Macaca mulatta: one gene and its partner. The main gene of each other region encodes a partner of the protein of the gene in region 2 in a complex. Links are inferred from orthologs where the notes say so. Each region holds a gene or a part of one and is shown on either strand. Other genes may lie near its edges. The genes, in order: YWHAB and PEAK3.

Evidence for each region.
Region 1: the proteins of PEAK3 (region 2) and YWHAB are in contact, whole or in part, in a cryo-EM structure (PDB 8DP5), measured with the Homo sapiens proteins. The link is inferred for Macaca mulatta from reciprocal best matches to the Homo sapiens genes PEAK3 and YWHAB. Residues at the interface, in NP_940934.1 of Homo sapiens: Arg66, Thr67, Gln68, Ser69, Leu70, Pro71, Thr72, Arg73; in NP_003395.1 of Homo sapiens: Val48, Lys51, Asn52, Arg58, Lys122, Arg129, Tyr130, Gly171, Leu174, Asn175, Val178, Glu182, Ile219, Leu222, Asn226, Leu229, Trp230.

What each region holds. Positions count from the first base shown.
Region 1 is NC_133415.1:97,731,461-97,746,705, reverse strand, and holds the start of YWHAB (14-3-3 protein beta/alpha), read right to left. Parts: upstream 8,649-15,245; 5' UTR 8,571-8,648; exon of another isoform or gene 8,132-8,570; intron 7,768-8,131; exon of another isoform or gene 7,695-7,767; coding exon of another isoform or gene 7,650-7,694; intron 6,801-7,649; exon of another isoform or gene 6,706-6,800; intron 1-6,705. UniProt on the Homo sapiens protein: Adapter protein implicated in the regulation of a large spectrum of both general and specialized signaling pathways. Binds to a large number of partners, usually by recognition of a phosphoserine or phosphothreonine motif.
Region 2 is NC_133424.1:3,022,094-3,037,289, forward strand, and holds the start of PEAK3 (protein PEAK3), read right to left. Parts: upstream 6,831-15,196; 5' UTR 6,277-6,830; coding exon 6,033-6,276; exon of another isoform or gene 5,530-6,032; coding exon of another isoform or gene 5,413-5,529; exon of another isoform or gene 5,207-5,412; intron 3,313-5,206; exon of another isoform or gene 3,149-3,312; coding exon of another isoform or gene 3,124-3,148; coding exon 2,594-3,123; exon of another isoform or gene 2,182-2,593; intron 782-2,181; coding exon 1-781.

The DNA of each region.
Region 1 (15,245 bases), on a different chromosome or scaffold from region 2:
ACCATAAGCTTGAATTTTCTTTTCAAATATATAATTTTGTGAGAAGTAAAAGCAAAAATCTAGATTAATCTTGTATAGATAGTATGTTATGTTAAAATGAACACACATGTTAACTGTAGCTGAAGTTTATCCGTTAGTTTCTAATTAAATTTTCTAGTGATATGCCATGATGGTTTTTAATCAAGACCTACTGTTGTTCCAAGACTTTGAATGAGGTTCCCACTAAAAAAAAAAAAAAAGTCAGCAAGATACTCTTTATTTGTCTCCTAAAAAGTTTTTGAAAGACTATGGTCTCATCATCAGGCCTGGCACCACTACAGAAGCGTCAAGATACTGGGGCAGGCAAACTCATTAGAGGCCACAAAGGGCCCAACCCTGCAGTAAGTCAAGAGATTTTCCTTGTGCTGGGCACATTTCAGGAAGAGACTGACATGCTTGAGAACAGGAGCTCTCCAGCACACCTACATGATGATGATGGCTGTCAATCTGTTCCAAGCCACTGGATGCAGCAAGTCAGGACTGGGAAGCATTTGTTGATAAACGCAGAGATTGCTTAGTGAAAAAATGGAAGCAAATCTAAATATCCAACAATATGGGAACGGTTTAAAAAATAAGGAGACTGGCCAGGTGCACTGGCTCACATGTAATCCCAGCACTTTGGGAGGCCAAGGCAGGCAGATCACCTGAAGTCAGGAGTTTCAGACCAGCCTGGCCAACGTGGTGAAACCCCATCTCTACTAAAAATACAAAAAAATTGGCCGGGGTGATGCAGTACTGTAATCCCAGCTACTCGGGAGGCTGAGGCAGAAGAAACACTTGAACCCGGGAGGTGGAGGTTGCAGTGAGCCAAGATTGCGTCACTGCACTCCAGCCTGGGCGACAAGAGTGAAACTCCATCTCAAAAAAAAGGTGGGTGGGGGGAGAGATAGATGGTACAAGATTACGTGGCCATCAAAAGAAGAGCTTTAACGTCATAAAAAGACTTATTTAAGAGCAATGGAGGCTGGGGGGAGGAAGTTGCACAATAATATTTTATTTCTGTAAAATATCCCCTCAACAGCAAACAAACCCAAAAAGAAAGGTTAACACCAAATGGTTAACACTGGCTGTCTCTCTGGGTAATAACATTATTATATCCTCATTTTCTTATCTTTCTGAATTTTCTTCAAGTATGTATTACTTTTTAAAAATTTTGGTACTATTTATTTTTTTAAGAAAAAAAGTGTTTTTCTGTTTAAAAAGAGAAATCAAGAGTGCAGATAAACAGCTATGAAACATAATTCTAAAGGCACTCTTTCTTTGAAGAAAATCCTAAATCAGATAATAAATGCTGAAAATAGAGGATCTAGGAAACAGCCTAGCCCCTCTATCTCAATTCCTTCCCCAAGTGATATCTTTCTAGTCAGGGTCAAAATACTGAGAAGTTATTTCCCAGTGGCTAGAGCAGATATCCTAGGATAAGAATCAAAAAAGAAAAGAAAAAGAAGATTACCTATTGCTAATCCATTTTTTTTAATAAAGGCACTGCAAAGATAGAGTTGAAAATGACAGCTGTAGCCTTTAAAAGTGAACATGCTCAATTCTAAAATAATAAGCTTTGAGTTTAATAATTTGCTGGAAATTTCAAATGAGGACTCCATTATTATATGCCAGGAATTACCCAAGCTCTATACATACAAAATATATGGTGGGGTCTGCTTCTAGCAAGCCTTACATACACATCTGAGCTTCTAAAGAGAAAGTAGGTGATTTTTCTACATTTCCACATTGTAACTTATCTGAATCTGTTTTCTCAGTGTTTAAAGGAGACATTAATAGCTATCAAATAAGATAATGAACATAAAATGCCCGTATAGTGTTGGTTAGAATAAAGGCTCATAGCCATTCTTATTCTTTCTTCTTAAGCTACCTCACAAAAATGTAACACATATAATCCAATGTGTGCTGAAATAACTACAAAATGAAAAACTACCAAATTTCTAAGAACTCTTTGGATTACTGAGAGGAATTTAAAAGAAAGCAGTGTAGTCCTCCCCTCAGCGAGCTTAAACTCTAGTGGTAGAAACACAAGAAAAGAGCACATGTATATCTATTATGCATCAATTAAAAAAAAAAAAACAGCACATGTTTAAGGGTTACAATGCCTCTCCTTAGAAAAGCAACCAGACAGAATTAGAGGAAAGAGGTTTAAAGGTAGCTAGGTCATGACTTAAAAAGAGATGTTATTAATAAAGTGCATGTATGTTTTTCTAGATGAAATAAAAATCAAAGGCCAAAGCAGATAAAGAAATGAGAACAAGGAAGAAAACTGACAGGAGAATCTGAAAAATCTAGGCTCAAATGTTTCAATGGGGTAAGGAACTGATCACATATTCTGAACAGCATTCACAGATGTACCATTCTAGATAGAGCATCCACAGCACTGTAAAGTAGAAGTTTTAGTTCTGGAGTCACTCTGCTGAAGAAAAATCAGATGCCAAGCTACTGCAGGAGGGACTGAGAAAGTCAGTGGGACCAGGTGGTTAGTGGGTGTTACCCAGAAAAAGTTAAGCACTCCTGGCTCTCAGAGAAAACTACTCACTAAAAAACACCCACTATAAAAATGTCTGTGTGCCATTCTACACATAAAATTTAGAGTCCTGTAATAAATTTAATTCCATTCAAACATTTGCAGGTTCTTTGTTAGGAAACAAAACACAGCATATCTGTAATACAAAGTCCTTAGCACTATGTCCAGTGAACACTGAATTTGGAGAGAAACTGCATTTCTATTATTTCAAAATCCCTTCCCCTCTTTCATATCAGTTGTTGAATTTCACTGCTAATTATGTCCAATTAGCCATGATTAAACTTACTGAGGGTGTTAAGTAACAGGCGCAAGGTTACACATGTGACTTAATGGTAGATATGACAATAAATTGACTTCTTGACTTTAAGTAATCAAACCAAAAGACACTATGTTAATTCTGATCCATAAAGACAGTCCAATTGGTTGACCTCATGAATAGATTTCTACAGTTTGGGGCCCACTGACATATCGAAGCCAATCAGTCTGAGTTACCAGTACCGCACACCAAGTCCATAGGCTATGTGACCTCTGTGAATCTGTTTTCTCATCCATAATACAGGCAAATCTCGGCTGGGCGTGGTGGCTCATGCCTGTAATCCTAGCACTTTAGGAGGCCGAGGAGGGCAATCACTTGAGGTCAGGAGTTCAAGATCAGCCTGGCCAACATGGTGAAACCCCGTCTCACTAAAAATATTAAAAAATTAGATGGGTATAGTGGTGGGCGCCTGTAATCCCAGCTACTTGGGAGACTGAGGCAGCCTGAAGACAGAGGCTGCAGTGAGCTGAGATCATGCCACTGCACTCCAGCCTGGGCAACAGAGCGAGACTCTGCAAAAAAAAAGATAGGCAAATCTTCTCACTAGGGTTCCTGTAAGGAGTAAACCTGTTTATGATGCTAAACATTAAGCACTCGAATAAATGGCAACCACAGTACATTCCACACAAAACTTAAAAACAAATGGTCAGCCAGTGAAGGGAAACTTACCATGTACCTCATTTATTTTACACGTACTCTGCTTCTGAAAGACTTTTAAAAGAAAGGCACACAACAATTTCCCTATGCCTATTTCTAAAATGGCCCTTATCACAGTTTACTGCAATGCAAGTGTCTCTGCTGGTTCCCACACTGGATTGTGAGCTTAAGGTAGGAATCCAGACTTGTATCTTTGGACCCCCAATGTGGAGCACAAGGCCTAGCACACTGAGTGACTACTTGATCACCTGATGCATTCTTAAAAAGTGAAAAAGCAATTATCTCCTATGTGGACAGAGGAAGGTAGTGCACATCTGACCTTTAAAATATAGACTGTTTTTATAGTCTTAGATTACTTTTTGAAAACAGCCAGCCAGCTCTAAATCAGGAGGCAACACTATACATTTTGACTAATACTTTTCAGCTACCAATCATTGTATTTATAGATTCACACTGACTTTTTTTTTTTTCCTGAGATGGAGTCTCGCTCTGTTGCCCAGGCTGGAGGGCAGTGGCGCGATCTCGGCTCACTGCAAGCTTCATCTCCCAGGTTCACACCATTCCCCTGCCTCAGCCTCCCAAGTAGCTGGGACTACAGGCGCCTGCCACCAGGCCCGGCTAATTTTTTGTTAGCCAGGATGGTCTTGATCTCCTGACCTCGTGATCCGCCTGCCTCGGCCTCCCAAAGTGCTGGGATTACAGGCATGAGCCACTGAGCCCAGCCAATTCAAACTGACTTTCAACAGGCCTTTGGATTACTTTCTGTTCATCTCCTCCATTCAGAAGTCCAATCAGTTCGCTATATAAAAAGTTCACTATACAAAAACCCAAACCAGCTAACTCGTTTAGTAAATAATAAAAATATCCATCCATCATTTATGGCCTGCAAAGCACTCAGGGATTCCTAGAAACGCATTTGATCCTAAGTATCCTATGAGGCAGGTGACATCGTCCCCTTTTATAGACGCAAAGAGTTAACTCATTCAGGGTCACACAGCTATATATGGCAGGTCTGGGATCTAAACCAACATTAATTTTAAAATTAATGTTCTTGCCTTTATGTAACCCTATATCCTAAAGATTAATTATGATCTCCAAAACTCATTTAAGGAAAAGGGAATTGCCAATTTTTAAAAGAACTATACAAAGTTGTTACAGTGAAATTTTAAAACTGGCCTATTAAGCTAACATATCTACCTTTAAAAACAAAAACAAAATCAAGGAGTTAAAAACAGCATAAAACACGCCAAAGACTCATCAAAATGTCAAATTTTAAAGGAAAGCTCTTAGCTGAGGGCAAATAATAATAATAGGACTCATATCTACTTTATTGTAGCCTTCAATCTTCTTGTCCTGATCAAGGCCATTTGGAAATAACTTCCTGTTGGTTCTCTTAGGGAAAACAATAAAATAACCAGTAAGGGAAAAACTTAGATAATAAAGAACTGGCCAGAATTAAAAAAAAAAAAAGAAGTCAACTAACCTACAATCTGCTAGGAATGACTTGAGGCCATTGATCATTTACATCTCATTATGAGTATTAGATACATATAACCATACCTCTATTAGAAAATCTTTTAGTAGAGAAAGCAGTAATATGATTGGCCTTCAGCACACTTATCATGACACAGAAAGCACTTTTAGTCTGTTTCCTCAAGTATTCCCCTCAGAAAAATTCCCTCAGAATCCAGCTCGTTAGTTTCTCCATCATGACATACAGATGACTGCTAAGATCATATTCACATAGAGATCAAAAGGATTCTAAAGCTTAAAGGTTGCTATTATATAACCATAATTTCTTGCCCCTTAAACTAGTGAATTGTCATCTTTCCCTAGAAAAATGTAGAAACAAGGAACTTAAAAGTACCTTTACAAGGAAATTTTAGTTCATTCTCTAAGGTACCAGCATTTAAAGGAAAACTCAGTTTGTTGGCACTGAAAGAGCAGGTAGCACAACAGGATGTTTTAATTTAGAAGTTTTTCTCTATTTACGTAGATATATTTCCTCATTTCCTCCTTGCCAACAAAAATAAGAAAAATCTGAACATCTACTGATAAAGTAGTATGATAAACAAAAATTAATGGTCATAATCAAATTCTCTTAGATGAAGAACCTAACATTCTATGCCAAAGTAACTGATGACTTTCTCCCTAGTATGAAGCAAGTACTAGAAAAACTGGATTGTTCACAAGCTTGCTTCCTGATGCATGCTAACAATATCATCCCTACAGGCCAGAATGGGTATATGCTCCACAATAAATCGTCCTGTATCTATCTTCAAAAATAGCTAGTATTCCCATTCAAACGTTTATTAGGATTGGTGTGAAGAAAAATTAAGGTCTAAATGGTGTTCACACAAAACATATACATGTGCTGTCTCTACCACACGTAGAAATCTATAATATCATTCCTTACAACCAGATCATCTAGTTTCATTCCTGGTTCTGGCACTTACCTTGTGCTGTGTGTGAGACCTCGGGAAAATTATTCTTCTCAGTGCCTTAGTTTCCTCATCTGTAAAATGGGGCTAATAGTCTTACCTTTCATTGGTTGTTATGAAGACTGAGCTAATATGCTTAAAGTGCTTAAAAGAAAGCTTAGCACACAGTAAGTACTGTAAGTGGTAATTATTATTATAGACTAATTGATACCACCTCATCAGATAAATCACAAATGGATGGATTCTATATAGATGTCCATGAATAGCACATACGCTATGTCTAATCTATACACGTGTATATTCATGCAGATGGTTAAACATCTATTGAACCCCAACTATATCCCAGATGCTTATTTTCATTGAGCTTGTCACAACAAAAATTATCCAAAGCTGCATTACCATTTGCGCTATATAGATGAGAAAATGATTCAGAAAGACTAGATTTGCCTACATGCAAAATAAAGTCCCATAATAATATACCATTTTTTGAAAGCAACTTGTGTACAAAGCAGGGTTTAGTGTCATCAGATGTTAACTGGAGAGAAAAAGCCATTAATAGTGAACTCTAATTAAAAAACCAAAAGCTTATATTTAACAATTTACAGTTTATAAAAAAGGCTTAATGATAACCCTGGAGATAAGAAAACTAAGAACCACAGACTAACATGCTGAAGATTCAGAAAGCTAGAAAATATTGCAGGCAAGATTTCAACCAAATTTACCTGACTCCAAGTCCAGTGCTCTTTCTGCTTCTCTATCCACAGCCAAATGGGCAAAATGCACTTTTTGTAGAGGCCCAAATCTCTGGAGACTCTGCCTAGAGAACCAGCATCGTGGGAATTTGCTCAGCCTGGTTTTATACAGGCTGCCTCCCTGATCTATAGTGCTCCAATTCTAAAATGGCTTCAATATAGCAAGCACTGCAAGACGGGAAATGTACAAAAGATTATAGGGTAGGAGTCATACTCCAGGGGCTGGCAATCCATATTTGCTACTGATGAATGAGGATATTCAATTTGAAAAAAACTAGGTGTAGAGTCTAGGCCAAATCACCTCATTTCTCATAAAGACTTCATCTGCAAGATAGGTGAATGGTTTCTTATCTCATTGGAGGGGCAGGCTAGGAAAATAATTCTGCAGTTGCTACAGGATTATTTGCCTTCCATTTTGAAAGCCACACTTAAATTTCTAACTTAGGTCCAATAAGATTGACAGGTTGTACACTCATACACTTCGTGTTGCCAAGGACAGGAATCCAAGAAAAATGAGGGCTCAAACAAATGAGATATCCCTAAGTAAGAAATAGGGTACCCTGGAAGCAGTCAAGAAGAAATTCACCAAGAACAAATACTTATATAAATTTCCAACATGAAAATGCAAAAGCTGCAGCGTCCAGCTCCATAAATTGCATCTGTGTCTGGCTTCATATGAACTGACAGAATGAGAAATGCAGACAATTTTCATATTCTTATAAGTGCTTCACCTTTCTGTTTTGGCTTCCGTGGCAGGCTGATTTTATGTTCATAGCATCATCTTGCCAAATTCCATCTCCCACACAGGGTAAGCAAAATCAGGACCTGATGCTATCTAGCCTTACCAAAGAGAAATGCAATGAAGGCAACGACAAGAGACATGCATTTCACAGAAAGGCTGGCAAATTGCTTACCAAGGCTGCCACCTCTGGAAACCTCATTATATGGGAGTTCTCCATTTGCGGCAAAGATGCACTCACCTTCCCACCTCTTCTTCCCTCCGCTCCCCACCCCCCGACCAGGAAGCCACCGGGCAAATTTCAGACCGAAAAACGTGCTAACACACAATAGGGGGAATTTGGGGTAAAGACACAAAAGAATTTGGCATTAAATGACGGTAAATACTGTGGGAAAATATTCCGATTCTCATCCCGATATTTTTTCCTGGGGATCCGGCCTGACTCAGTAACCGGCTCCAACAAACACATTTTCTTGATTCAAACCCAATTCCCTTCCTAGGGAATCTTGGGTCCTGCCAGGCTCCATAACCAGTTAAGGATGATGAAATGGTTTTACTGCAAAATGGGAGGGGGTTCCCCCACTGCTGTCTCCCAAGGTTAAACCCCTTACTCATCCAGGAGGAGTCAAACAGGGGGACTGGGGCTAGAAAACTCACCCGCGTTTGATTAAATTTTAATTTCTGGAAACCGGAAAGCACGGAGCAGAGGTGACTGGGCTGAAGAGGACGGTTCTTGCCGACCAAGACGCAGGGAGGGGTCGCGTGAGGGACCGAATCAGATAGTGAGGGAGAGTCCGGGACCCTCGGCTCCGCTGTCCCTCACGGTGCAGCACAGAGTTGCACCCCGCCCGGCCGGCAGGACCTTAGGCGGCGAGGGAGGCCCGGGCCTCTCCAAGAGGTACAGGGCCCGGCCCCGGAAACAGGGAGGGGCCGCTGCGAGGCCTGGCCTTGCCGCCGGCGGCCGCGCGAAGCGGAAGAGGCAGCGCACCGCTATCCCCCGGGGCCCACCCGCTGGGCCGCCGTCGTCGCAGCTGCCAAAGAGGGGCTTCGAATTTGGGCCCCCGGGGGCCCCGGTCGGACCCCGCGCCGCACTCACCGTGGGAGGGCTGCAGGGAACAAAGACCCTTCCGAGCAAAGCTCCAAGCGAGATGACCTCTTCCTTCCCAAGCCCACTCCTCAGGCAGCGGAAGCGGTGCCTGCAGTGGCTGCAGCAGCGGCGACTACCCCGGCTCCGGAATCGGCGGCGGCAGTGGCGGCAGCTCCACTTCCGCTCCGGTCGCCACTTCCGCTCCGGTCCTGGCCGCGCCCCGCCCCACGCCGTGTTCTCATTGGGCAAGCGAGGCACGGGGTTGCCGCGGCCCCACGGGAGGGGCGCTGACGGAAGGGAGGAGGAAGAAGAACGAAGGGCAGGGTTGCCGCGGCCGGGGCAGGGCGCATGGCCGGGGGAGGGACCCAGGAGGAGGTGGGCGGAGAAGAAGGAAATGGGGCGGGGGAGCGGGAAAAGGAGGTGGGAGGAGAGAGGGCGGAGCTGGGGGTGGTCAAGATACGGGCTGTAAAGGCACCCGGAGGACTAGGAGTGAGGTGTGGGTGGGGGTTTCCTTTTCTGCTCAGACTGGAAACGCGCCAGGGCCAGGTACGGAGACTCGAGGTTTAGCAGTCCCCCCTCCACCCAGAAAGTAATCCTCACGGTGTCGGAAGCCGATGTCAGTCCTCTTGCTGTGTGCTTTGGGAATAGTGGAGCTAGGGAAGAACAGAAATTGCTCATCCCTCAATGTTCCCTTAATCCTCCTTTCAATCCTTCGGAGTACTTACTTTTTCCTTCTTTGGTAGACTGAAGAGGCCACTTGAAGTGCCAGGAATCCAACGCACAAAGGTCTTTTTCAAAAACCTGTGTAGGGCCGAGCGCGGTGGCTCGCGCCTATAGTCTCAGCACTTTTGGAAGCTGAGGTGAGAGGATTGCTTGAGGCCAGGAGTTGTAGGCTGCAGTGAGCTATGGTCATGACACTGCACTCCAACCTGGGCGACAGAGTGAGACCCTGTCTCCAAAAAAACCCCACAAAAATCTGTGTACATGATTCCGTCTTTAAGATGCCCCCTCCTTGAGGAAGTTCAGGGAAGGAAACAGGCTTCCATGGCTCCCCTCCCCTCATGACTGCTCTCACAATTACCGACATTCTACTCCTCTCAAGGTAGTTGATTTTGTTTTGTTTTGTTTTCTGTTTTTGAGACAGAGTCTCTCTCTGTCGCCCAGGTAGTGTCACAGTCTTGGCTCACTGCAGTCTGTGCCTCCCAGGTTCAAGCAATTCTCCTGCCTCAGCCTCCTGAGTTGCTGGGATAACAGGGGCATGCCACCACTCCCGGTTCATTTTTGTATTTTTAGTAGACACGGGGCTTCGCCGTATTGGCAAGGCTGGTCTCAAACTCCTGACCTCAGGTGATCCACCCGCCTCAGCCTCTCGAAGTGCTGGGATTACAGTTACAGGCATGAGCCACCTTGCCCGGCTTCAAGGTAGTTGATTTTTAAACTCAGTCCTTCAAAATGCCTCTCGCCTTCCCTCTCTCCTGTTCATTTATTCTTTCAACAAATGTGGAACAGACTTTTTGCTTAGTGCTGGAGACACAGCAATGAACAAGGCAGATGGGGCCCTGCTGTCTTGGAGTTTGCAGTCGGGTAGGAGAAAGAACCAAGTAAATAGGCCTTTGCCGTCTTGCCTTTACCCTTACTTAGCTAAATGACAGACTTCTAATTCACTGTTTTACTCTCAGCCTCGCCCGTCAACTGCCAAGTGATCTTTTTAAAAATACCATTCTAATCGTGTCCTGTTCTTGCTTAAATTATTTAGTGTGCACTCAGACCTAGATGACAATATGTAAGTTCCTTGAGACAATCAGCGTTCTCCAAAAGCTGCCCTTATCCTTTAGCTGCTATTTCTCCCCCATCGTAAATACCACAATTCAATTGGATGATTCCTTACCTTCCCAATATGCCATCTCCAGTATTTCTAAGCAGTTTGACTTAGTTGCCAACACTTTTTTAAACTGAAAAGTTTCTGTGTGAACAGAAATCTGCCTCTACACCTTGTCTGGTAACACCGTGTCCACATTTCTGTGTGGCAACAATTGGCTGAAGCCAAGGAGTGGCTGCCTACTCTAGACTGGGTATGGACTTTCCCAAGTGTCAGGAACCCTTCTCGACCTGAGTCTGTTTTCGTCACTTATGTTATCTGTCATGTAGGCGTGTGTGCCAGTGACCCCTGTACTGTACCACCTTTTAAGTTGAACAAGATTGAGAATGTGTTGTGTGATGTTAACAGCATGATTTGAGTCAAAACCATTGGATTTGAATCCTGGAGAGGTTTCCTAGTGCAAAAACTTCCCCATGAGGATGGTCTTTGGCAGACCCAAGGCCAGTAATCTAAAGACTACTCAGGCTAAGTAACCTTTAATGTCACATAACTGTGCCTTATGCTATCATCCAGAAAATAGCCTAACAGACCAGAGGGCTAATAATGATTGTACCACAAATGACATCAACAGTGCATTGAGGGAACAGAAGTGCCCTTTGTCAGGCATTCCTAGGTGCCTGTTTAAGGGTTGCATGGATTAGATTATTTCACCATCTCTGCATTCTAGGCCAACGGTCAGCAAACCACAGCTGTGAATTGACAGCAATACAGAGAAATGTTAAAATACAATGTGGTAGGTGCAACCATAGAAATAAAAATATGTGCAGGGTATTATGGCAGCTTGGGAGAAGAGCACCGAACCCATCTTGGGACTATGGTGGGAGAGCGGGAAAGATTTCCTGAAAGAAATGATACTTGAGCCTTATATACTGAAATGAATCTTTTTTCAAATTATAGACTTAATTTTTAAAAATGTGTTTGTAGAGACGGGGTCTCATTTATGTTGCCCAGGCTGGGCTCAAACTCCTGGCCTCAAGTGATCCTCCTGCCATGGCCTCCCAAAGTGCTGGGATTACATGTGTGAGCCACTGTGCCTGGCCAATAGACTTAATTTTTTAGGACAGTTTTTGGTTTACAGAAAAATTGACCAGATATTAGAGTTCAAACATTCCCTCTCCCTCCTCCACACAATTTACCCTATTATTAACATTTTGTATTAGAGTGGTACATTTGTTGCAATTGATGAGCCAGTATTAATACATCATTATTAACTAAAGTCCATAGTTTACATTGGGGTTTATTCTTTATGTTGTACATAGTTCTGTAGGTTTCGACACATGCGTAATGTCATGTATATAAATAAAAGTTTTACTGTCCTAAAAATCTTTTCTTCAACTCTTCATCCCTCACTCCCTCCCCTCACCTCAACCTTTGGCAACCACAGACCTTTTACACTATAGTTTTACCTTTTCTAGAAAGTCATATAGTTGCATCATACAATACGTTTTCCTTCCTTCCTTCCTTCCTTCCTTCCTTCCTTCCTTCCTTCCTTCCTTCCTTCTTTCTTTTTTTTTTTTTTTTTTTGACAGAGTCTCACTCTGTCACCTAGGCTGGAGTGCAGTAGTGCAATCACGGCTCACTGCAGCCTCGACCTCCTGGGTTCAAGTGATTCTCCCACCTCAGCCTCCGTAGTAGCTGGGACTACAGGCATGTGCCACCATGCCCAGCTAATTTTTGTATTTTTTATAGAAATGGGGTTTTGCCATGTTACCCAGGCTGGTCTTGAACTCCCAGGCTCAAGCAATCCTCTTGCCCTGGCCTCCCAAAGTGCTGGGTAATAAAGTGTGAGCCACTGCACCCAGCCCATATGTAGCCTTTTCTGACTGGATTGTTTTATTGAGCAATGTGATTTAAGTTTCCTTCATGACTTTTTATGATTTGATAACTTATTTCTTTCGATTGCTTAAAAATATTCCCTTGTGGCCAGGCACGGTGGCTCACGCCTATAATCCTAGCACTTTGGGAGGCTGAGGCAGGTGGATCACGAGGTCAGGAGATCGAGACCATCCTGGCTAACACGGTGAAACCCCATCTCTACTAAAACTACAAAAAATTAGCCGGGCGTGGTGGCGGGTGCCTGTAGTCCCAACTACTCTGGAGGCTAAGGCAGGAGAATGGCGTGAACCTGGGAGGCGGAGCTTGCAGTGAGCCGAGATTGCGCCACTGCACTCCAGCCTGGGCAACAGAGTGAGACTCCATCTCAAAAACAAACAAAAAAACAAAACAAACAAACAAAAATATCCCCTGGTATGAATCTGCCACAGTATGTTTATCCATTAACCTATTCTTTTTTTTTCCAGACAGTCTCACTCTGTTGCTCAGGCTGGAGTGCAGTGGCATGATCTCAGCTCACTGCAACCTCCGTCTCCCAGGTTCAAACGAGTAGCTGGGATTATAGGTGCATGCCACCATGCCTGGCTAATTTTTGTATTTTTAGTAGAGATGAGGTTTTGCCATGTTGGCCAGGCTGGTCTTGAACTCCTTACCTCAGGTGATCCATCCATCTCAGCCTCCCAAAGTGCTGGGATTACAGGCGTGAGCCACCACGCCCGTCCCATTAGCCTATTCTTAAGGATTGACTTGTATCCTCCAGAAAGATATGTTGAAGCTTTCACCCTTGGTATCTGTGTATGTGACCTTATTTGGAAAAGGGCTTTTGCAGTATAATCAATTAAAATGAGGTCATTCAAGTGGGCTGTAATCCAATGTGGCTGGTGCCCTAAAGAAGGAGGAAAATGCCATCTGAAGACAGGACACACATGGGGAACAACACATGACAATGGAGGCGGAGACTGGAGTGATGAGCTACAAGCCAGGGAACACTAAGGATTGCTGGGCACCACAAGAAGCCAGGAAGAGGCATGAAAGGATTCTACTCAGAGTCTCAAAGGGAGCACGACTCTGCTGTCACACTGATTTTAGACTTCTAGCCTCCAGAACTGTGAGAGAAGACGTTTTTGTGGTTTGAAGCCACCCAGTTTGTGGCCCTTTGTTATGGCAGGCTTAGGGAACTGATAGACCTACTGAGAGATATCTGGATCCAGCTGTTGACAATTATGAAGAAAACCGCAGTAAACATCTGTGTGCAGGTTTTTGCGTGGGCATAAGTTTTCAACCTAGGAGTGTGACTCTTAGATTATATGTTAAGACGACGTTTAGCTTTGTTAGAAACTAGTAAACTGGCCGGGTGTGGTGGTGCATGCCTATAGTCCCAGCTACTTAGGAGGCTGAGGCAGAAGGATCACTTGAGGCCAGGAGTTCTGGGCTGCAGTGCACTATGTTGCCTGGGCATCTGCACTAAGTTCAGCATCGATATGATGACCTCCCGGGAGCAGGGGACTACCAGATTGCCTAAGAAGGGGTAAACTGGCCAAGGTTGGAAACGGAGCAGGTCAAAACTCCCGTGCTGATCAGTAGTGGGATCGTGCCTGTGAATAGCCACTGTACTCCAGCCTGGGCAACACAGCAAGACCCCATCTCTAAAAAAACAGTAAAAATAAAAATAGGCTGCTGGTCACGGTGGCTCACGCCTGTAATCCCAGCACTTTGAGAGGCCGAGGCAGGTGGATCACCAGGTCAAAAGATCGAGAACATTCTGGCCAACATGGTGAAACCCCATCTCTACTAAAAATACAAAAATCTGCTGGGCGTGGTGGCACATGCCTGTAGTCCCAGCTACTTGGGAGGCTGAGGCAAGAGAATCACTTGAACCCAGGAGGCAGAGATTGAAGTGAGCCGAGAATGCGCCACTAATCCCAGCACTTCGGGAGGCTGAGATCGGTGGATTACCTGAGGTTAGGAGTTCAAGACAAGCCTGGCCAACATGGTGAAACCCTGTCTCTACTAAAAAAAAAAAAAAAAAAAAAAAAAAAAAAAATTAGCCAGGCGTGGTGGCAGGTGCCTGTAATCCCAGCTATTTGGCAGTCTGAGGCGATCATGCCACTGCACTCCAGCCTGGGCGACAGAATGAGACTCTATCAAATAAATAAATAAATATATAAATAAATAAATGAAAAATAAAGAAACTACCAAACTGTTTTCCAAAGGGGCTGTACTATTTTGTATTTCCACCAACAATAACAGCTCCTGCTGCTCCATATTCATGCCAGCATCTGATATAGTGAGGGTTTTTTGTTGTTGTTTGTGTTTTTGTTTTTCTGAATTTAACCAGTTGAATAGGGGTGTAATGGTATCTCATTGTTCTAGTTTGCAATTCCCTCATGACATACAATGTTGAGTATCTTTTCATGTGCTTATTTACCACCTGTATATTTTCCTTGGTTAGGTGTATGTTCAGATTTTTTCACTTATTTAAATTGGATTGTTTGCTTTTTTATCATTGAATTTTAAGAATTCTTTGTATATTTTGCATACTAGTCCTTTATGTGATATGTGCTTTGCAAAGATTTTTTTTTCCTGTCTGTAGCTTGTCTTTTATCCTGTTAACAGTGACTTTGCACTAATTTTAATGAAGTCTAACTTACCAATTTGTCTTTCATGGATCATGTTTTTTATGTTACATCTGTTGAGCTAAAGAAAGAAACTCAGGCAAAATTAATATAGAGTTTATTTGGACCAAAGTTGAGGACTGCAGCCAGGGAAACACTAGGAAGTGCCCCAGAGAACAAAAGAGAGGCTCAAGTTTTTAAAGAAAAAAGAACAAATTAGGAGAGGGGGTGATGCGGCCAGGTGCAGTGGCTCACGCCCATAATCCCAGCACTTTGGGAGGCCGAGGAGGGCAGATCACCTAAGGTCAAGAGTTCGAGACCAGCCTGGCCAACATGGTGAAACCCCATCTGTACTAA
Region 2 (15,196 bases):
CCATAGAGGACTCGGTGGCCTCGGCCAGGTATTCGCAACACAGCCAGTCCTCGAGGCTGGGCGCTTCCCCACCTGCGGCCCGCTCTGCCAGGCGCAGGACCAGCAGCCCACGGCGCAACCGCAGCCAGGGCCCGAGCGCCCTGAGCCAGGGACCGACCGGCGCTCCGCGGCCGCGCACCTCAGGCCCCGGCCCCCAGAGCAGCGCCTGCAGCGCGCCCCGCGTCCGGGACGCCGAGGGCTGCAAGCGGGTCAACTGTGCTGCCAGGCGCTCCAGGCCCGCGGTCAAAGGCGTGGTCGAGGGCGCAGCAAGGCCGAGCATCTCGCGGAGGAGGCTGCCCAGCTGCGGCGCGTGGGGGCCCGGGGAGCCCGGGGGTCCGGGGGGCTGCAGACAGACGCGGCCAAAGTCAGCGAGGAGTAGGCGCGCATGCCCAGTCGCCGCACAGCCCCGAGGTGCCGCCAGCAACAAGTTCTCTGGCCGCAACTCGACCAGGGCCGCGCCCCACGCCTCCAGGAACTCCAGGGCCGCGCTCAGCTGCAGCAGCACCAGGGCCACGGCCCACACGAACTCCTCCGGCGGCTGCGTGCAGGCCTCCACCAGCCACTGCGCCACCGTGCGCTCCGGCACCTCCGCTGCCAGCGCCACCGCGCCTCTCCAGGGCGCCCCGGGCAGTGTGCCTTCAGGCACCACGCCACACAACCCCTGCAGATTGAAGTGTGGAGACAGGGAGGCCTGCAGCTCCAGGCCCCACGGGTGGGGCACGTCCGCCCCGGGCTTGGGTACCTGCAAGGCAGAGGGGGTGAAGGGGCCTGAATCACTGGGCCCCCCACCAGCACTGCCCGCCCCAGAGCGACCTGCCACGAAGTCTCCCCCGCTCACCCCCAAACTGCCCCCACTATGGCTGGGGGTGGGAGACTGCCCGCATCCCTCCAGCAGCAGGAGGTCCATGTTAATTGGGTAGTCAGTCACCAGTAAGGGCTTTTAGGAAAATTAAGCCAGGGAAGAAGATGGTGGCAGTGTCCCTGGGCAATGAGTTCGAAAGCAGATTCCTGGGCTGGGCACGGTGGCTCACGCCTGTAATCCCAGCACTTTGGGAGGCAGGGGGATCGCTGAGGTCAGGAGTTCGAGACCAGCCTGGTCAACACAGGGAACGCTCGTCTCTACTAAAAATACAAAACTAGCTGGCGTGGTGGCGCGCCTGTAATCCCAGCTACTTCGGAGGCTGAGATGAGAGAATCGCTTGAACCCGGAAGGCGGAGGTTGCAGTGAGCGGAGATCGCACCACTGCACTCCAGCCTGGGCAACAGAGTGAGACTCTGTCTCAAAAAAAAAACAAAAAACAAAAAAAACCCAAAAACAACAACAAAAAAACAGATCCCGTCCAGAGAGGTGTGGGAGGGGCTTTGACGAGGGCTCCAAGGCCATATCCATGGCCCCACACTTTAGAAACAGGGTTTCCTGGGTTAACTGTGTTGATTCACGTGTTAGTTGCAAAATAAACAAGTCTAATTCGGTCTGGATCTGTGTCCTCACCAAATCTCATGGCCAATTGTAATCCCCAGTGTTGGAGGTGGGATCTGGTGGGAGGTAGCTGGATCTTGGGGGGTAGTTTATCATGAATGGCTCAGCACCATCCTCCTTGGCACTGTCGTTGGGATAGCGTGTGAGTTCTCGTGAGATCCGGCTGTGTAAAGGTGCGTGGCACCTCCTCCCTCCCTTCCTCCTGCTCCTACCATATGAGATGGCTGCTCCCGCTTCGCCTTCCACTATGATTGGAAGCTTCCTGAGGCCTCTCCAGAAGCAGAAGCCACCAGAACCATGAGCCAGTTAAGGCTCTTTTCTCTATAAATGACCCAGTCTCCAGTATTCCTTTTTTTCTTTACTTTACTTTTTTTTTTTTTTTGAGACAGAGTCTCACTCTGTCTCCCAGGTTGGAATACAGTGGTGCAATCTCAGCTCACTGCAACCCCCACCTCCGGGTTCAAGCGATTCTCCTGCCTCAGCCTCCAAGTAGCTGGGACTACAGGCGCACACCACCACGCCTGGCTAATTTTTGTATTTTTAGTAGAGACGGAGTTTCATTATGTGGCCAGGCTGGTCTCGAACTCCTGACCTCATGATCTGCCCGCCTTGGCCTCCCAAAGTGCTGAGATTACAGGCGTGAGCCACTGTGCTGCCCAGCCTTTTCTTTTTTTTTTTTTTTTTTGAGACAGAGTCGCTCTGTTGCCCAGGCTGGAGTGCAGTGGCGCATTCTTGGCTCACTGCCCCCCAGGTTCATGCCATTCTCCTGCCTCAGCCTCCCAAGTAGCTGGGACTACAGGTGCCCGCCATCACGCCTGGCTAATTTTTTTGTATTTTTAGTAGAGACGGGGGTTTCACCGTGTTAGCCAGGATGGTCTCGATCTCCTGACCTCGTGATCCGCCCGCTGTGGCCTCCCAAAGTGCTCGGATGACAGGTGTGAGCGCTGGGCTCCAGTATTTCTTTACAGCAGTGAGAGAACTGACTCACAGAAAGGCCAAGCGAAACAAGCCCTGAGTTATGCCTAAGATGGGACACTGGGGACACCTTAGAGAAGGTGGGGCCGTGGGTCTCACCTTGGCGACCAGGATGTGCCAGGCGTCGTCATGCACGCGTACCACGCGGTAGTACAGGGCATCCCCGCTCTCTGCGCAGGGCGAGCTGTCCAGGAGGCGGAAGCCGTGGCCAGGGCGGCAGGGCCCGGGGTGGCCCCCCATGAACCGGGCACGGAGCCGGGCATAGATGGCATGGAGGCCCTGCAGTTGCTGGGCAGCCAATGCAGCGTGCACAGCCTCTGGACTGTGCAGATTGCGGAGAGAGAGGCCCAGCGGGGCATCAGTCAGGCCAAAGGTCAGCTCTGCAGGGGGACAAGCTGGTCCCACCTCAGCCTGGCTCTTGTCCACACTGTGGGACCCCAGAAAGGGCCTCCGAGGCAGCTGTACTTGGATGGAACTGGCATGGGAGGTCCTGCGGTTGGGCAGTGACTGGGTCCGGGTTAGGATTTTCTTGGGCAGGGGTGGGGGCAGGGGCTGTGGGTCGGTGGAGCAGGACCCAGGGGTCCGGGGGCGGCAGGCCTTGGAGGGCAGCAGGTGGGCACGGATCTCACCTGCAGGGAGAGACAGTGGGGAGGGCTGAAGACAGGCGGAATGGGAACGGGACACGTGACTCCACCTCTCAGTCTCGGTTTCCCCATCTCTAACATGGAAGTAATAAGGCTGGGCGCCGGTGGCTCATGCTTGTAATCCCAGCACTTAGGAAGGTGGAAGCCGAGGCAGGAGGATCACTGGAACTTAGGGTCTGAGACCAGCCTGGGCAACCTAGTGAGACCCTCTCTCTGCAAAAATTTAAACAAATTTGCCAGACGCAGCCGGGCGCGGTGGCTCACGCCTGTAATCCCAGCACTTTGGGAGGCCAAGGCGGGAGGATCACGAGGTCAGGAGATCGAGACCATCCTGGTTAACACGGTGAAAACCCGTCTTTTCCTAAAAATACAAAAAATTAGCCAGGCGTGGTGGCGGGCGCCTGTAGTCCCAGCTACTCGGGAGGCTGAAGCAGGATAATGGCTTGAACCTGGGAGGCGGAGCTTGCAGTGAGCCGAGATTGCGCCACCGCACTCCAGTCTGGGGGACAGAGCTTACAGAAGAGGAAACTGAAGCTCATAGGAGGATGGATCAGTTTCAGAGAATGGTGCCACCCAGCACTCAGCGACTCCTACTCTTACCTCTGTGACTTTGGGCAGGTGTCTCTCTGGCTTTTTTTTTTTTTTAAGTCTTGCTCTATCGCCCAGCCTGGAGTGCAGTGGCCCAATCTCGGCTCGCTGCAACATCTGTCTCCTGGGTTCAAGCGATTCTCCCACCTCAGCCTCCCGAGTAGCTGGGATTACAGGCACCCGCCACTATGCCCGGCTAATTTTTGTATTTTTAGTAGTGGAGATGGGGTTTCACCATATTAGCCAGGCTGGTTTCAAACTCCTGACCTCAGGCGATCTGCCTGACTCAGCCTCCTAAAGTGCTAGGATTACAGGCTTGAATCATCGCACCCGGCCTTTTTTTTTTTTTTTTTTTTTTTTTTTTGAGATAGAGTCTCCCTCTGTCGCCCAGGCTGGAGTACAGTGGCTCAATCTTGGCTCCCTGAAACCTCTGCCTCCCAGGTTCAAGGAAGTCTCCTGCCTCAGCCTCTCGAGTAGCTGGAATTACAGGCGTCCACTACCATGTCTGGCTAATTTTTTTTTTTTTTTTTTTTTTTTTTTGAGACGGAGTCTCGCTCTGTCACCCAGGTTGGAGTGCAGTGGCTGGATCTCAGCTCACTGCAAGCTCCGCCTCCCGGGTTTACACCATTCTCCTGCCTCAGCCTCCCGAGTAGCTGGGACTACAGACGCCCGCCACCTCGCCCGGCTAGTTTTTTTGTATTTTTTAGTAGAGACGGGGTTTCACCGTGTTAGCCAGGGTGGTCTCGATCTCCTGACCTCGTGATCCACCCTTCTCGGCCTCCCAAAGTGCTGGGATTACAGGCTTGAGCCACCGCGCCCGGCCACTAATTTTTGTATTTTTAGCAGAGACTGGTTTTGCCATGTTGGCCAGACTGGTCTTGAACTCCTGGCCTCAAGTGATCCTCCTCCTTGATCTCCCAAAGTGCTGGGATTAAAGGGTGGGATTACAGGCATGAGTTACCGTGCCCAGCCCCTCTCTCTTTTTTTTTTTTTTTTTTTTTTGAGACGGAGTCTCACTCTGTCGCCCCGGCTGGAGTGCAGTGGCTGGATCTCAGCTCACTGCAAGCTCCGCCTCCCGGGTTTACGCCATTCTCCTGCCTCAGCCTCCCAAGTAACTGGGACTACAGGCGCCCGCCATCTCGCCCGGCTAGTTTTTGTATTTTTTTTTTTAGTAGAGACGGGGTTTCACCGTGTTCGCCAGGATGGTCTCGATCTTCTAACCTCGTGATCCACCCGTCTCGGCCTCCCAAAGTGCTGGGATTACAGGCTTGAGCCACCGCGCCCGGCCTCCCTCTCTCTTTTTAATGGTATATATTTTTTTCCAATTCATGGCTCACTGCAGCCTTGACCTCCTGGGCTCAAGGGATCCTCCTGCCTCAGCCTCCCCAGTAGCTGGGACTGCAGGCGCTTGACACCATGTCCATCTTATTATTATTATTTTTTTTTGTAGAGATTGGGGGGGTCTCATTATGTTGCCCAGGCTGGTCTCCTGGACTCAAGGGATCCACCCGCCTCGGCCTCCCAAGGTGCTGGGATTACAGGCGTGAGCCAACACACCCCGCCCACCAACCCACAGGTTATTTTTCAGCCCTCGCCCACTCCGGGCCTTCCTGAGGTCACTCATTTTACCAACTGCTGCTGTTCCCAGAGGCCACGGTGTCCTCCACCCCCTGCCGCTCCCTGCACGCCCCCGGCCCAGGGCTCCCCGGGGAGCTGCTCACCGAGGTTGCTATATGTGGGCTGAGTCGACCAGGTGGGGTCGTCGGGCTCGGGGGGCTCTGTGGGAGTCTCCGGGCTGCTCATGTTGCTGGGGGAAGGTCAGACGGGGCGTGGTGGGGTGGCACACGCACAGGGCGACATGGGAGGGGTCCGTGAGTGCTACAGCATGGGAGACCGTTGAGGCCCCCTGCTCCAGGGCCCTTGGTGAGAACAGGGGCACCCACACTCCACTCCCTTGTCCAGTTTTGACCCTGCTGTGTGATCCCGAGTGGGTTTCCTGCCCTCTCTGGGCCTACTTCCTCAATCATGAGGCAGGTGTGTCATCCATCAATCTTCCAGGCAGTGGGAAGGAACCCCCACTGCACATTTGGGATGGGGACAGAATGTTCAGCCTGAGAACAGGTCTTTGGGGGTCAGTTGTGGGGGAGACAGTGTCCAGGGACCCAGGGATCCACACTCAGGCCTCCTCCCTGAGGGCTCAGCTGTGCGGTTGCTGTCGGCAACCAGGCCCCAACCCACCCCCGCCCAGATCCCAACCTGAAAAAGTAACCGCTTCTGTCCAGCTCCCTGCTCCAGGAGCCCCCTACCTTCAAGACTGGCGTGCCCTCTGGGGGAGGAGGGGTCCTGGGGGACGAACTCCCAATGGCCACAGCCCCTGGCCTCGCAGGAGGGGTCTGACCTAGCGCCGGCAGCTGACAGGAAAACGTCCGGCCAACTGTCAGACCGCAGCCCGGGGTGGGGCGGGGGCATTTGGGCAACACTTCCCCACCAACTGCGGCCGCCCCCTCCCCTGCCCGCCCTCAGAGGACAGGATGTAGCCGGGAACAGCATCCCGGGCGGAGGGAACAGCCCGGACGGAGACCAGGAGGTGGGATCTGAAAGTCAATAGCACCAGGGCTGACAGCCTCAGAGGCCAGGCTGGGGTAGGGGCAGTGAGGAGCCCTGTGAGATGGGCAGAGGGGCAGAGCTGGCCCACCGTAGGGAGGGCACAGAACGTGGTGACGGCTGTCCCTGGAGAAGGTGAAAGTGGGGTCTGTGGGTTTCACTTCCCCGGGAACCGCCTCCCCTCCTGTGGCAGCATCTTGAGGAGCCCCCAGCGGCCCCCTGCCCGATCCCAGGGCCCCCGAATGCGGAGTGTGGGCGAGGACCCTCCGGGCTCTGCCGCGCCTGGCTGTGTGACTGTGGACAAATCCCCGCCCCTCTCCGTGCTCTGGCCAATAAAGAAAAGCGTCTCCCGCATCCCGCCTGGTAACAGCCCCGCCTGCTGGATTTCTCTTTGAAAAAACGGAATCGGCTCACTTTCCCCCTTCCCCCTTCCTCACTGCCTCGATGCATTTATTTAGAAAAGACGTTGTAGATAAAATCACCATAAATGGAAAAATCAAGAATGGAAAAAACCCAAGGAAAAGCAGACGCGGGGTGAAATTCCAGCTGAAGTGTGTGCCTGTCAAAACTGTCTTCTTTTTTTTTTTTTGGAGACAGGGTCTCACACTGTTGCCCGGGCTGGAGCGCAGTGGGGCAATCGCAGCTCACTGCAGCCTGCAACGAACTCCTGGGGCGATCCTCTGGCTAGGGAAGGAGCCCACTACTCCTCCTGCTGCCCTCCTCCCCTCACCTTGCCTAGTTCACAAGACAGGAGGAGAGAGACAAAGCAAACAGTTAGAAAGAAACAAAAGTAAGATAAATAGCCAGACAACCTTGGCAAAACCATCCGGCCCTAGGAGTTAAAAAAAGTAATAATAGGCGGGGCGCGGTGGCTCACGCCTATAATCCCAGCACTTTGGGAGGCTGAGGTGGGCGGATCACGAGGTCAGGAGATCGAGACCATCCTGGCTAACACGGTGAAACCCCGTCTCTACTAAAAATACAAAAAATCAGCCAGGCGTGGTGGCGGGCGCCTGTAGTCCCAGCTACTCGGGAGGCTGAGGCAGGAGAATGGCGTGAACCCGGGAGGCAGAGCTTGCAGTGAGCCGAGATCGCGCCACTGCACTCCAGCCTGGGCGACAGAGCGAGACTCCGTCTCAAAAAAAAAAAAAGAAAAAAAAAAAGTAATAATAATAACATTGACCCCTGACCTAAACTACTTGTGTTGTCTGTAAATTCCAGACACTGTATGGAAAAAGCATTGTAAAACTTTTTGGTCTGTTAGCTCATGCCTGTAGTCCCCAGTCACGTTCCCCACATTTGCTCGATTTATCACGACCCTTTCACATGGACCCTTTAAACTTGTGAGTCTTTAAAAAGGCCAAGAATGTTTTTTTTGGGGAGCTCGGCTCTTAAGACACAAGTCTGCCGATGCTCCCGGCCGAATAATCCACTTCCTTCTTTAATCCAGTGTCTAAGGAGTTTTGTCTGCGGTTCGTCCTGCTGCACTGCCTCGGCCTCCCAAAGTGCTAGGATCACAGGTGTGAGCCAACCTGCCCGGCCCCAAAGATGTTCTTGCAGCAAAGATTGAGTGTGTTTCATGAGGGGTTCCCGATCCCATTTCCCTGAAGGAAATGGGCCCAGAGACAATATGGGCTCCATCCAGGGTCACACAGCAGCTCGAGGCTGGGAGCAGAGGTCCACAGAGCCACTGCTGAGTCTCCCTGGCCTCCCCCAATCCCCTGAGAAAGGGAAGGAGAGGAAGGAGACTACCTTTCCCTTATGAACATCCTTCGAGTGGGTCCCATGCCATACTTTTTTTTCTTTGAGTCAGGGTCTCGCTCCGTCACCTACACTGTGTCGCCCAGGCTGGAGTGCAGTGGTGTGATCATAGCTCGCGGCAGCCTCTGCTTCCTGGGCTCAAGTGATCCTCCCACCTCAGCCTCCTGAGTAGCCGGGACCACTGGCGTGCACCACCATGCCTGGTTAGTTTTTATTTTGTTTATTTATTTATTTATTTATTTTTTTAATTTTTTAATTTTTTTTTTTTTTGAGACGGAGTCTCGCTCTGTCACCCAGGCTGGAGTGCAGTGGCCGGATCTCAGCTCACTGCAAGCTCCGCCTCCCGGGTTCACGCCATTCTCCTGCCTCAGCCTCCCGAGTAGCTGGGACTACAGGCGCCTGCCACCTCGCCCGGCTAAGTTTTTGTATTTTTAGTAGAGACGGGGTTTCACTGTGTTACCCAGGATGGTCTCGATCTCCTGAGCTCGTGATCCGCCCGTCTCGGCCTCCCAAAGTGCTGGGATTACAGGCTTGAGCCACCGCTCCCGGCCTTGTTTATTTATTTTTCAGGTGGAGTCTCACTCTGTCGCCCAGGCTGGAGTGCAGTGGCGCAATCTTGGCTGACTCCAACCTCTGCCTCCCGGGTTCAAGCAATTCTCCTGCCTCAGGCTCCCAAGGTACTACAGCCACCGGCTACCATACCTGGCTAATTTTTGTATTATTATTATTATTTTTAGTAGAGTTAGGGTTTCACCATGTTGGCCAGGCTGGTCTCAAACTCCTGACCTCAGGTGACCTGCCCACCTCGGCCTCCCAAAGTGCTGGGGTTACAGGCGTGAGCCACTGCGCCTGGCCAGGGCACAGAGTTTAAAATGATGCAAAAGCTGGTCAAATGCCTATACAAAAAATTAGCCGGGCATGGAGGTGGGTACCCATAATCCCAGCTACTCTGGAGGCTGAGGCAGGAGAATCACCTGAACCTGGGAGGCAGAGGTTGCAGTGAGCTGAGATCCCACCACTGCACTCCAGCCTGGGCAACACAGCAAGACTCCATTTAAAAAAAAAAAAAAAAAAAAGCCTGGGCATGGTGGCTCATGCCTGTAATCTCAGCACTTTGGGAGGCCGAGGCGGGCACATCACCTGAGCTCGGGAGATCGAGACCATCCTGGCCAACGTGGTGAAACCCTGTCTCTACTAAAAATACAAAATTAGGCAGACGTGGTAGCCTGCGCCTGTAATCCCAGCTACTCAGGAGGCTGAGGCAGGAGAATCGTTTGAACCCAGGAGGCAGAGGTTGCAGTGAGCCAAGATTGTGCCAATGCACTCCAGTCCAGGTGACAAGAGTGAAACTCTGTCTCAAAAAAAAAAAGAAAAAAGTTCATAGTGTGGTGTGGCCTCTGGATCAGGCCCCTCCAGATCCTACAGTTGTCCCTTCATTTGAGAGGCCCTTATTGAGCTGCGGGAGCTGGGACCACATTCTCTCTGGGTCTCCAGCATTGCCCAGCACGGGGCAGGGGGGCCACATGCTGATGGATTTCACATGACTTTGGCCTTTCGGAGAAAAATGCCTGTTTGGTTTGAGACAGGGTCTCACTCTGTCGCCAGGCTGGAGTGCCGTGGTGCGATCTTGGCTCACTGCAACCTCCGCCTCCCTGGTTCAAGCGATTCTCCTGCCTCAGCCTCCCGAGTAGCTGGGATTACAGGCGCACGTCCACCACACCTGGGTCATTTTTGTATTTTTAGTACAGATGGGGTTTCACCATGTTGGCCAGGCTGGTCTTGAACTCCTGACCTTAAGTGATCCCCCTGCCTCGGCCTCCCAAAGTGCTGGGATTACAGGCAGGAGCCACTGTGCCTGACCCGTTTTTTGTTTGTTTGTTTTTGGTTTTTTTTAGTAAGCAGAATAACAGCCCCAAAAAGCTCCTGTGTCCTCATCTCCGGAATCTGACGAGGCAGCTGTCTGGTGAGGGGGATCAAGGTTGCAGATGGAATTCTGCTACCTTTCATCAGATAGGGAGATCTTCATTTTTGGGGGGCTCAGTGTCCACATAGGGGTCCTTGTAAGGAGGAAGGCAGGTGGCTCAGGGTTAGAGAAGAAGACGTGATGACCGAAACAGAGGTCAGAATGATGTGGCCACGAGCCCACGGATGCAGGCGGCTCTGGAGCCAGAAAAGGCAGAAAGTAGATTCTCCCCTGGGACGTCTGGAGGAAACAGCCCTGCTGATTTTCGACTTTGGGGCTCCAGATCTGTCAGATCATAATTTTAAGTTATTTTAAGCTACTAGGTTTGTGGCCATTTGTAACTGCAGTTGTAGGAAACTCATGCAGTTTTTATCCTGCATACCACAGAACTATTGCAGGATTATTATTATTATTATTATTATTATTATTTGAGGTAGTTTCCCTCTTGTTGCTTAGGCTGGAGCACAGTGGCACGATCTTGCCTCACTGCAATCTCCGCCTCCTGGATTCAGGTGGTTCTCCTGCCTCAGCCTCCTGAGTAGCTGGGATTACAGGCGGCTGCCACCACACCCGGCAAATTTTTGTATTTTTTGTTAAGATGGGGTTTCACAATGTTGGCTAGGCTGGTCTCGAACTCCTGACCACAGGTGACCCACTCGCCTCAGCCTCCCAAAGTGCTGGGATTACAGATGTGAGCCACCATGCCCAGCCTATTGCAGGATTATTATCTTCCAAATTACAGACAAACAAACCGAGGCACAGAGAGGGGCAGTGACTTGCCCCAGGCCACGCAGCAATGGAAGCCAGAGACCTGAGCTCCAGCTTCCCTTGGCCCCACGAGCAAAAGCTTGCGTGTGGGAATCGTGTCTCTGTCTTGCGGAGGAAAACAGGAGGGAAGTTAATATGCGGGGCTCAAGGAATCACCTGGAAAAGATGTCGGCTTGCTGGGGGGATGTGGGAGAGAGAGAGACACCCCAAACACGCGTCCACGTCCAGAAGATGGGGGTGAGAGACCCACGAGGGTGCAGGCGTGGGCTGGGGCTGGTCCTAGCTCTGTCTGGGAGGGGAAGTCAAGGCAGGCTTGGTCAGAAGCCACCCAGACATGAGGCATGAGGATGGCTTGGTCCCGTCCTGGTTTTAGGGATCCTGTCTTGGGTTTCCAGCCACCAAGGAGATGGGTGTTACTTTAGTTGGGTCTTGGCTGCCTGAGCAGGAAGGGCCTCTTCTGAGGTCTCCCCTGCCCTCCCCGCAGGGCACCCCATAAAGGAGACAGGATTCATGGAAAGCTTGGAGGTTGCACCTGGTTCATGTCAGGCACTCAGAGCGTTGCACGGGGAACGGGCGGCTCTCCTGGATGGGGACTCTGAGGCCCACAGGACAATAGTTTCACCTGCCTTTGTTGCAGGAGAGAACGGGAAATCAGTCCCCACCGGAGAGTCCCACAGCCTAGAGCCCCCCTCACCCTCCAGCTGCCTTGAAACCAGGCATGGAGAGAGGGACGCCTCACAGTCCCTGACGGGCCTCTGTTCTGCCCCCGAAGGGCAGGGAAGTAAAGGAACCTTAGTCCTAGGTTCAAACGGGGGAACCGAGGTCCGGAGACCGACACTGGGCTGTGGCGAGTGGGAGGCTGCTCTTGGCTGGAACTTCTGCACTCTGGTTCCGTCCACCTCCTTCCTGAAAAAACACGAGCTTCTCCCTGTGCCTTCCTGGGTGGGTGGGGTTTGAGCCTTCACGCCCACTGTGCCTCAGTTTCCCCACCTGTCGCCTCTCCGTGCCTCGGCTTCCCCATCTGTTGCTGCTCTGTGCCTCGATCTCCCCATCTGTCAGTGAGGACTGGCGCGGGCTAAAGCACTTTATTAATCTCACTTCCAAAGCCAAGACTCCCTGGTTTTTCTGGGAGCCCTCAGAGACAGGCAGGGCAGACGTGGGACCCTGTCAGCAGCACCCAGACTCCCCGACAGGCCAATTCCAGGAGGCACCGCGGGGACCCATGTCTTCTTTCTTCCCTGGCCTGAGGCTGGGGAGGGAGTTTCCCAACGGCCCAGCTTTGCCCACTCTTCTCAGCCCCCACCTGTCCCTAGCTGGGGTCTCAGAGCGGCTTCCCTCCATTCTCTGCCCCTCGCTCGACCCATCTGTAAAATGGGTTCGTTAACAGGATCCACCCAGCTCGCAGGGCTGGCCTCAGTGTGAAAGGAGGCAACACACACAGCGCCTGGAACAGCGCTGGGAACAGCATGGGCGCTGCAGAAGTGTGGCCTATCACACGTCACTAGTGGCGTGGAATTCTCTCAGGGTTGGCTTCCCCTGGGGACCCCAGCAGCCCCTCATCCCTCAGCCCTGCCCCCTGTTGCTCCCACGGGAGTAAGAACAAAATCTGAAGTTTGTTATTAAATCGGTTCCATTTTTATTGGATTTGAACCAAATACAGCAGGATGAGGGGTGGGGGACTGAGGGGTCTTGGTTCATGTTGGGATGGGGTGGGGAGCTCAGGGGGCTGGGAAATCCTAATATACAGATGCTCTGTGAACCCTAACATGACCGAGAATGCACCCCCTCCTGTCTTTGATAGGCTAAAGGCACTTGGATATCAATTTTGGGGAGGCCCTTGGGGTTGTCATGGTAAGCAGAGTCAGGCAGGTGCGAAGAAAATAATTGGTTGTGCCCAATTCAGGGGTGGCGGTTGGGGTTACAGGAACTTCACCCTCACTCATGTCGAGCCCCCTGGACCGTCTGTACACCGTGGTGCAGGCCTGGGCCCTCCCGGCCACAGCTCAGGGAGAATGGGCCGGCGTCGCCTTGCAGCTCCGTCTGAAACCTTTGCTCAAACACCCTCCAGGGCTGAGCCGGCTTTCTCTCTGTTTCTCTCTGACTGATCTCAGAGCAGTCTTGAGGGATCCAGGATCCAAGTCAAGCCATCAGGCCCATCTGCAGGCCTGGCCTCTGAATACAGGGTAATAGGTTTGACCCTCAGACCCATTTTACAGATGAGGACACTGATGGTCTAGGTGATCTTCGGTCACCAGCTGAGATCGTACAGCTGGGCAGCAGCAGAGCTGCTTTTGAGCCCTTCCTGCAAAGTCCTGGAGGGTCTGTCCTAACCTCTCGGTTGGCAGCCAAGCCCTTTCTGACTGAGGTTTTGGCCCAACAATGGTTCCTGTCCCTGCCCCCAGCAATGTCCTAACTGTCCTCTGGAGGATGTGGAGGGGGAGGGGCAAAAATTGGCTATGAGGAGGCCAGGTCACAGATGGTCCCTATGGTCCCTGTCTAGTGTCTGAATCCTTCTGCAAAACCTCAGCTCCTCCTTGTTTACCCCCCGTGACGGGGAGCTCACCATCTGTAGAGCAACAGGGCAGTGACTTCGGGGAAGCTTTTCCTTGACCTGAGCTGCAGTCAGCCTGTGACCCCAGCTTTGGTCCTAGATCTGCCCAACCACTGCAGGTGCAGAGACCAATGTTCTTCTATCACCTTCTTCCAAGGACCCGGGTCCAGGCCTTCCTGCAGGGTGAAGCCCTTGTTTCGGCCTTGTTCTTGTCACTGCCTCTGCAATGCACATAGCAGGGACTCCCCGGGAACCCCCTGTGCTCTTTGGTCTTGTTCCCCACCTGAGCCATGAGTCAGCAGAGCCGGGCATGATGGGGCCACGCTCAGGGCTTGTCTGAGGCTGGCTCAGGGGTCAATGCGTACCTAGAGGCAAAGGTCCCTCCAGTAGACCCATTTAGAGGGACACTCAGGACCCCAGAAGCCATGGTCCTGGGCCGGGGCCAGGGTGGCTACCTCTCCCTTGTGGGGTGGCCCTCTCTTGCCAACTGTTCTGAGAAGCAAGTGGCAGCGGAGGGAGGTGGAGGGCTGGGGCAATGGCTCCTCCTTGCGGACAGCCCTGCTGGGCTGTGGGGAGGACGGAGGACAGGGCGTGGGGGCCCCTGACTGTAACCGCTGCGTGTGCTGGGTCCTCAGCAGACCTGAGCCCAGGCCCTGAGGTCGGCTGGGAGATGCTCAGCTGAGCAGGCGCTGGGGTGGGCTGTGTGTCCCAGGTGTGAGCTGTGTCTCAGTTGTGAGTTGTGCCTGTCCCAGGTGTGAACTGAGCATGTCCCGGGTGTGAGCTGTGCTCTCACGAGAGCCCTGCCTGCCTCTGTGGTCAGTTCTGGTGCCCAGGGCCTGGTTTTAGTGTCAGCTGGGTGTGAGGTGTGTGTCTCAGGTGTGGTGAGCTGTGTGTGTCCCAGGTGTGAGCTCTGTGTTCTGGGTGTGAGCTGAGCATGTCCTGGGTGTTAGCTGAGTGTGTCCTGGGTGTGAGCTGTGTGTTCTGGGTGTGAGCTGTGCCTGTCCCAGGTGTGAGCTGTGTCTCGGGTGTGAGCTGAGCATGTCCCAGGTGTAAGCTGTGTGTCCCAGGTGTGAGCTGTGTGTTCCAGTGTGAGCTGTGCCTGTGTCTCAGGTGTGAGCTGAGCATGTCTCAGGTGTGAGCTGAGCATGTCCCAGGTGTGAGCTGTGTGTTCCAGTGTGAACTGAGTGTGCCCCGGATGTGAGCTGTGTGTTCTGGGTGTGAGCTGTACTTGTCCCAGGTGTGCGCTGTGTCTCGGGTGTGAGCTGTGTTCCAGGTGTGAGCTATATGTCCCAGGCATGAGCTGTGCCTGTCCTGGGTGTGAACTGTGTCCCGGGTGTGAGCTGTGCCTGTCCCAGGTGTGAACTGTGTCTCAGGTGTGAGCTGAGCATGTCCCAGGTGTGAAAAGTCTCAGGTGTGAGCTGAGCATGTCCCAGGTGTGAGCTGTGTGTTCCAGTGTGAACTGAGTGTGTCCGGGTGTAAGCTGTGTTCTGGGTGTGAGCTGTGTTCCAGGTGTGAGCTATGTGTCCCGGGTGTGAGCTGTGCCTGTCCCGGGTATGAGCTGTGACCTGGGTGTGAGCTGTGTGTCCTGGGTGTGAGCTGTGCCTGTTCCAGGTGTGAGCTGTATCCCAGGTGTGAGCTGTGTCTCAAGTGTGAGCTGTGCCTGTCCCAGGTGAGAACTTTGCTCTCACGAGAGCCCTGCCTGCCCCTGTGGTCAGCTCTGGCGCCCCGGGTCTGGTTTTAGTGTCGGCTGGGTGTGAGGTGTGTTTCACCTGTGTGGGTTCCAGGTGTGAGTGTGTCTCTGGGTGTGAGGTGCAGGAGGCCCA